Arabidopsis thaliana: one gene and its partner. The protein of the gene in region 1 interacts with the protein of each later gene in a pairwise test. Each region holds a gene or a part of one and is shown on either strand. Other genes may lie near its edges.

The links.
Region 2: the proteins of CIPK22 (region 1) and CRF10 interact in a two-hybrid assay, tested with the Arabidopsis thaliana proteins (one large-scale study listed by BioGRID).

Annotation. Positions count from the first base shown.
Region 1 is NC_003071.7:16,113,404-16,117,399, forward strand, and holds CIPK22 (CBL-interacting Serine/Threonine-kinase), read right to left. Parts: upstream 1,802-3,996; coding exon 506-1,801; downstream 1-505.
Region 2 is NC_003070.9:25,724,717-25,729,538, reverse strand, and holds CRF10 (Integrase-type DNA-binding superfamily protein), read left to right. Parts: upstream 1-1,837; 5' UTR 1,838-1,912; intron 1,913-2,152; exon of another isoform or gene 2,153-2,237; 5' UTR 2,238-2,491; intron 2,492-2,583; 5' UTR 2,584-2,754; coding exon 2,755-3,729; 3' UTR 3,730-4,084; downstream 4,085-4,822.

The DNA of each region.
Region 1 (3,996 bases):
GTAATCAGCAGTGACAACTATTCGTTAATCTGTAACATTCATATATATGTTTTTAATACAAACTCAAATAAACATTCATACATAAAAGATCCTGAAATACTTCGTACGATTGCCAAACAAAATCAACAACGATAAATATTACAAACGGTGTAGCATGTCCCTTAGCGCAAAATAAGGCCCAAGTTTGCAAACACACACGGTCACACATAAAAGGCTACAAAGTTCAAATCAGAGTTTTATTCAAATTCTCTCCGATGAATAAAGCAAATAATTTTTGTGTTTAAATTATACTCCGAAAATAAATAAACAAAAATAATTGAATCCCGGTTTGTTTTTTTCTTTCTTCTTGTCATTTTTATATACAAAGAGGCGGATCGTCCCATTACTCTCCCTGCTCCAATGTAAACCGAACCGGTTAACCACAATGCGTCTCGATCCCGAGTGTAGTACGTTGAAAATTCTAAAAGTAAAACGCACGGATTGTTGGTTTAGTGTTGAAACCGTTTTACGGTTTGTCAGGAACTTTATAAACCGGTTGGTTAATCAAACGACGTAACTTTTGTCTAAGAGCATCGGCCCAAACCAAGCCCACGTCTCTTTGCTTGTTCTTCATCTCCACCATCACTAGTTCATTTGTTAGCCGGCGAACTTTAACGACGACATTAGCTACTCCATGTGGACCTTCAAGCTTTATCGCTCTCTCCTTCTTCTTCGCGATTCTCAAATTTAACTGCTTCGCAACTTCCTCGACCTTCCTCATAATAACGGCCGTACTCTCATCGGATACAAACTGGTCGCAATGATCCGGCGTCACGAAATTTCCAAACAAACCGGAGAGATTCGAGCTCGACGCCGAAGAAATCAAATCGAACGCGTTTAGAATTTTACCGTTTTCTTCCAGATCGTAATCATCGGCTTGGATTCCGATGATTTCGCTTGGATCTACTCCATGATTGAACCACGGATCCTTTAGAATCTCCTCCACGGTGATTCGCAGTTCCGGATTTGGCTCCAAGAGACGGCGGAGGAGTTTCCGCAGATCTGAAGATGTCCAATCCGGTAACTTGTATTGAGCCTTGTGGATTTTCCGGTAGAGTCCCATGATGTTTGGATCACGAAACGGCAAGTAGCCTGCGTTGAGAAGAAACAAAACGACGCCGCATGACCAAATATCAGCTTTAGAACCGTCGTAGCCTTTCTTCAAAAGAAGCTCCGGTGCTACGTAAGCCGGAGTTCCACAGAGCGTATGTAGCATTCCGTCGGGGTGGATCTGCTCCTTCATCGCACTGAGACCGAAGTCTGAAACCTTCAGATCTCGATTCTCGTCGAGGAGGAGATTCTCCGGCTTCAAATCACGGTGGAAAACTCCTCTTGCGTGGCAGTATCTCACGGCGGAGATCAATTGCCGGAAATATTTCCGGCTAAGACTCTCTGTGAAACGGTTGCTGGTGACTCTTGAGAAGAGCTCACCACCTTTGGCTAGCTCCATGACGAAGTAGATCTTCGTCTTTGTGGCGAGGACTTCGGAGAGGAGCACGATATGAGGATGACGGAGGCGGCGCATGACAGATATTTCTCTCTTAACGTGCGCCGTTAAACCGTCTTTCAAACGTTTTTTTTGTACGACTTTGATCGCAACGCTTTCGCCGCCGTTTTGAAGATCCTCCGCTTGGTAGACTTTGGCAAACGCGCCGCTACCGAGGAGCTTACCGAGATCGTACTTACCGAACAAAGCCGACTTATTATCATCTCCGGTGACGTTAACAATGATTGATTCGGAAGAATTAGAGTCTTCGGCCATTAACAAACAAACAAAAAAAACAGAGCAAAAAAACAGAGTAAAGAGAAACAGTCTAGGAATTGTAAAAGACATGCGCGCGGTGCCTCTTCTTATTGAAATTCCTCAACTTGCCACGTAAGTAAGCTATTATTTTAAACAAAGATTTTAAAATAGTTTGACTTTATTATAAAATGCATTAAACAAATAAATGAAAGAAACAATCTTCACAAAAGACAATTTCAAAATGCGATAACATTTTCGATTTTTACTAATTTGAATTAGTTGCGATATATCAACCAGGTTAGAGATAGAGTCATTTTCTCCTGAAATAATTTACGATTCAAGGAATTTTCATGATTCTTTCCCCAATGTGTGGTTCATGTTGTTGTTACCAAACATCTGCCTTGTCAGGTCAACCAAAACCTTCTAATTCCAGGTGGGATTTAAAGTCTTAATTTATTTGTTTTTGTAGGAGCTGGGAAAACTCGACATATTTTTTTTTTTTAAACGTTCATCGTTGACAAAAATAAAAACTTTATCAAAAATAAAAAGAACGTCTATATAAAAATATTTGAATAATGTGAAAGAAAAAAACAACGTGGATTGACGTTACTTTGTATAGAATGCTAAGCAGTATACATGACGATGTTTTAAGCTTCTTTACCGGTTAAGATGGTACTTTAGTTCTGAGGATATGATTTGGTTCTTAAAACATAAGAATATATATTCATCAGGTAGAAGTGTACAACCAAATCAAGACAAGTGAACCGGACCAAATTTTATGTGAACTATATCTCGCAACATTGCATGTGCATGTAAAGATGTTTAGACACGAATGTTATATCGTGGGTACAAATCAACCATCCTTAATTCTGATGAAATTGTTGGTCTTTAACCGCATCCAACCGTAGCAACCCAATCAAACCAAGAACATTATCCAGTCAATAAATAACCTTTAAATTTGAGTGACAAAATAATAACATTTAAATTTGAATGTTGTTTGAAATTCAATGCCACATATAATAATTACTTTTTAATAGCTGGAAATTTTGTTATCTAAGGATTAATGATGGGCAAATTAAGTTTTTCTTATAATTAATTTGAAGTTGGATTCGTGGATCCAAGTCATTCGTGTGTGGATTAAAATCATACTAGTACCCCTTTTGTTGTTGAAAAAGCCAAAAAATTAATCCTTACACGTGAACTTGTTCAAAACATTATCATAAACCTGTAAATTTTTGACCAAAAACAAGAAACCTCTAAAAAAAGAATTAGGAAATATGCAAAAGCAAAAACTCGACAAAGTAAAACGAATAAAGAAAACAACTCTTGCTCATTCATTCATGTGTTCCAATATGTAGGTGTTAGCTTTCGTAACGGTATTTACTATCTATTTGCCTTTTAGTTTATTGACTTTATCTGAATGAAAATTAACACCTAACAGTCGGCAGTAATACCCAACCAAACTTCAAAAGTTATCTCGATTTTATCGTACGGTCACACAGTCATTTAGACTATGACATCCGGGCGTCATTGTGGAGTCATACCCAACCGGAAAAACCAACCATCGAATCATCACATCGAATATAATGCCCAACCGCCAAGTCAACTTATTTATGTGCTATATCGATCCATTTAAAAACATCAATTCTTTTGAAAAACAAATACATCACCATTGCTTTATTATTGAATATTGATCTTCTCATTGTTATCGTCATCAAGAATAAAGACATCTACTTCAAAGAGACACCGTCTTTACCACCGTGATGGTGTACGTCAGCCATCGACATCGTCCGTACACCCACCCTCACTCTTAATTTAAGACGTTTCTTCTTTCTCACGCATCGTCATATATTGTGTGATTTCTTTAAAAATGTTATTAAAAAAACTCTACGAAGCAAAGTTTGTAAAACCAACCGTCAGAAGATTTCTACGACATTTTGTCTTTGTTTACGAAAAGAATTTAACAAAAGCATAAAAAAAAAAATTGATGGTTTTATGATTAGACAAATTTTTTGATCTAACTCAAAAAAAAAAAAAAAGTCACATATTGAGGCATTGCTTTTGCTATTTTCTCAAAGTTTTAATTAGGACATTACATTACATCTTTTTTTTTTATGACAAATTATTTTATCTCAATTCACAACCCCATCAGAAGAGAGGAAGAACGTATTCAAGAACACACGAATTGCTTACAATGAAAATTTGCGTTAATA
Region 2 (4,822 bases), on another chromosome or scaffold:
ATTCTATATAAAAAATAGCACTCTCGTTCCACCTCCAATTGATATGTATAATGTTGTTCCTTAAATTGACACCTTGTTGATTAATCATTTTTGACTTTGATAAATTTATTCCACGACCACTTCACTACTTTGTTTAAAGATTAATAAGTCTCAACATTTGAAAATAGAGTGAGTGAAGGTCAAGATGCACATCATGCGTTATTTTTGATAACACTAAATTTGATTTGAAACACAAATTAAATTTTGTTTGGAAACAAAATGGACAAATTATCTCTAATTAGTCAAAATTATCAGTTTATCACTAAAAAATTTCTAATTTAAACAAGCATAAAAAACGAGAATCTAAATTTGAGTTGTCTTGTCCGTTTTCGGTACAATAAAACTATTCAAAGTCAGTAATTAAATCTACCAAGATTACAATTTTTAAAATTATAATAAAATTTAAACCATTTTTTTGAACAAAGATAACATATCATTACTAAACTAGGGTTCAATAGATGATAACAAGAGGGTATACTTTGACAAAGAGTCTGCTTCATGATTAAGAGATCTAGAGTTGAAAATAAAAGAACAAGAAATGAACTTAAAAAAAAAAGATAATTCTTTTGAGAAAATCTTCCAGTTGATAGTTTTAACAACCATTTGCGAATTCCAATTCTATTGCAATTTCTATAGCATTGAGAGTTGTTAACGCTTCGGCCACTAAAGGGGAACATACTAACAGTTGTACATCCTTGTTGAAGAGTACTCTTGTTTAGATTTTTTTTTTGTTTAGCGAGAACTCTTGCAATTTCAGCAGTAAACATCTAAAGATGTGAGATTTATGCTTAGATTACAACAACTTTTAGTTAGCTCAATTTTATTTAAAACTCTAAAACTAAATATGGTATTCTTTCTAATTTTTTATTTTTTTAATATTAAAATCTAAGAAAAACTAGAATTTTTTTTCTACCTAGATTTTAAAAGATTTTCTTATGAATTTTGCTGAGATATTATTTACAAATATAGTTAAGATTCTTTACCAAAATTGAAAGATTTCTAGATATCTATCCAAATAAGGTTATATGTAAAAGATATTTACCCAATTAAGATCACACATATTAAAAAATAATTCTCCAATTAAAGTTTTTTAAATAAATATAGAAATTTTATAAAATTAAAATTCGTACTAAAAAAAAAAACAGAGATTAATACTCATGTAAAATTTGTTTATAAATAATTGTGAAGGCAAAGAAGAGAGTAAGGTACACGCGTTAGGATTCTTAGGCGGGCCATGATAGATGCATGAGTAAGAGAGAGTCATGCGCCATTAATGTATATTTTGTCCCTACTTCTTTCTTTATTGCCAGCTAATATTTATTATATGTCTCCTCAAATGGAAATGTTTTTATACTAAATCTTCCTCTTTTTTTTTTTTTTTTAATTTTCTAATACTACCAAATTAAAAATGTAACGCAAAAAAAAATTCAAGTCAAAAGAGCCACACTACAGTCAAATACTGTTATTTTTGTTAACTCTATAAAAAACGGAAGATTTATTTAATTCAATACATTTAATAGGCAATTAAATATATTTTTTCTTGGGTCAGTAAATGTGATTTTTGCTATAAATTAGGAATGACTTCCTAAATTGGTTATATTTTATTCCTAATTTTCACCATTTACAGTTTCTAATTGGCTGTTACAAAGTTCATGATTATATTCTGTATATTTTATTTCCCTTCTTAGTCGGTCTTTTTTTTCTTTGAATGGTTACTTTTGACCGTCATTGAACAAAGGGAAATAAATCAGTACTTGTTAAAATCAGAATATAAAGAGCGTGAAAGCTTTATTATTTCATTCACAAGAAGAAAAAAAAAAGTGTGAAAGGAAAAGAGAGAGAGAAAAAAATCAGAAGAAACAACAGCAACAAGGTCATTTTCTTCTTCTTCTTCATCTTGTGATTTGTTTATTGTTTATGTTCTCTTCTAGAGATTTGCGTCTTATTTTGTAAAAACCAAAGCTTTTCTTTTTCATAAATATAATTTATTTCAACACTTGTTTACTGTTTTTTCTCTGTGAAAATTGTCACGGATCCTTCGTTTTTTTTTATATACTCATAGCAAAAATAATCTCATCCCCAGATTTCTTACCCATCTATCTATCTTCTTCTCTGTCTCTTAAGGGTTCTGGGTTTTAGCTGTTTGGGTTTTATTTGGTTTCGTTTCTCACTTATTGTTTTGTCTTTTCCAAGAACAGGAACAGTGAAAGGTTCGGTTTTTTGGGTTTCGATCTGATAATCAACAAGAAAAAAGGGTTTGATTTATGTCGGCTGGGTTTGAATCGACTGTGATTTTGTCTTTGATTCATATCTCTTCTCCGATTTCATCATCATCTTCCCCATCATCGTCGTCTTTGAAATCTTGTCTTCTCAACGCTCTTCACTTCTGCTGTAATAAGCAGAGGCTTGTTCTGGAGACTCCTTCTCTTTCCATGCGCTTAAGACCCAAAAGGTATTATCTTTATCCTTCATCTTTCTCTCTTCTCTCTTTACATTTATGTACCTTCTCCGATCTGAGAGTTTGTTGTTTGATTTTTGTCACAGGACTTGTTCTAGTGTTGAAGTCTTTGGGGGTTTTCACATAAAGCAGCAAAAGTTTTCTTTTTTCATAGTTCGCTGAGAGTTTTGAGTTTTGATACCAAAAAAGTTTTGACCTTTTAGAGTGATTTTTTGTTCTTTCTGTTTTCTGGGTATTTTTGAGGAGTGGGTTTAACAATGGTTGCGATTAGAAAGGAACAGTCTTTGAGTGGTGTTAGTAGCGAGATTAAGAAGAGAGCTAAGAGAAACACTCTATCGTCCCTTCCTCAAGAAACCCAACCTTTGAGGAAAGTCCGTATTATTGTGAATGATCCTTATGCTACTGATGATTCCTCTAGTGATGAGGAAGAGCTTAAGGTTCCTAAGCCAAGGAAAATGAAACGTATCGTTCGTGAGATTAACTTTCCTTCTATGGAAGTTTCTGAACAGCCTTCTGAGAGTTCTTCTCAGGACAGTACTAAAACTGATGGCAAGATAGCTGTGTCAGCTTCTCCTGCTGTTCCTAGGAAGAAGCCTGTTGGTGTTAGGCAAAGGAAATGGGGGAAATGGGCTGCTGAGATTAGAGATCCTATTAAGAAAACTAGGACTTGGTTGGGTACTTTTGATACTCTTGAAGAAGCTGCTAAAGCTTATGATGCTAAGAAGCTTGAGTTTGATGCTATTGTTGCTGGAAATGTGTCCACTACTAAACGTGATGTTTCTTCATCTGAGACTAGCCAATGCTCTCGTTCTTCACCTGTTGTTCCTGTTGAGCAAGATGACACTTCTGCATCAGCTCTCACTTGTGTCAACAACCCTGATGACGTCTCGACCGTTGCTCCAACTGCTCCAACTCCAAATGTTCCTGCTGGTGGAAACAAGGAAACGTTGTTCGATTTCGACTTTACTAATCTACAGATCCCTGATTTTGGTTTCTTGGCAGAGGAGCAACAAGACCTAGACTTCGATTGTTTCCTCGCGGATGATCAGTTTGATGATTTCGGCTTGCTTGATGACATTCAAGGATTCGAAGATAACGGTCCAAGTGCGTTACCAGATTTCGACTTTGCGGATGTTGAAGATCTTCAGCTAGCTGACTCTAGTTTCGGTTTCCTTGATCAACTTGCTCCTATCAACATCTCTTGCCCATTAAAAAGTTTTGCAGCTTCATAGGATCTTGCTTAGTAATGTTAAGTGAGAAGAGTGTTTTGTTTTTTCGTTTATGCTTTAGTAATTTAAGACATACAAAAGTGTGTGTTCCGGATTGTAGTAAGATCTTAAGACATAAAGCCGGGTTTTGCAATTAGGAATCGAGTTTTAATGAAGTTTTAGTTTATGTTTGATTGATGTTTTGCTGATTCTGGTTTCTCTTCTCTTTTACTTTGGGTTTTTCATTGTGCTTTTAAGAGCCGTCCAAAGTGAAAGAGTTTTGATGAGAATTCCACTGTCAGTTTTATTACATCATTCTCCACTTTCATCTTTCGTTAATGTGAAAAACAAAATATTAATGGAAGAAGCTTTTTAGTTTATATAATTTTGATGTGAATTCCTTTTCATTGTTCTTATCGACTTAATTTGTTGTCTGCTTCAAAATTATTAAGCCCTACCAGTTGGGCGTTAGATTCTGACGTGTTGCGATTCTAAGAATCTAATGGAAAATGACAAATGCATGAATTTAGTATGGGTCACTGTTTCTCTGCTGATTCGCCGCGCCATCACAAAACACCATTATAGTTGTATTTATGGTTATACGTTTTTAATGGTTTTCATTAAGCGTTTTTTAATTACGTTATTGTGTGTTTTGAGAAAGGTTGAATAGTAGTGAAAGAGAGTGGGAATTAAAGAAGAGATTGCACGGAAGTGGCAACAAGTCAGGGGTTTGGTTTTGTCAGGTTTACACTTATTGTTAAGTCCAAATATATGTAACAGCTGTATCGCATTTTGGTATTTAATTGAATGTTATATAATAAAGAAAGGTTGGTGTCTTGGTGATTGAGAATTGAGGAAAAGTCAAAGGAGTGTATTAGTGTATAGTACTATATAGTAACACTCTCCCACTACTTTGTGGTTGCACATGTTTTTGTAGCATCTTTTTTTTTCAGTACGTACGGGTAAGCATGTCTCAAGCACGTGATACTTTACTATTAAGAACGAGAGGTGGACATGCACATGAAAGTTAGAGGATCTTGTGATAAGCTCTAAAAAGACTATATTATAAGAATGTTCATATTCACACCATAATGAATCCAAGTGATTCTATCTTGAG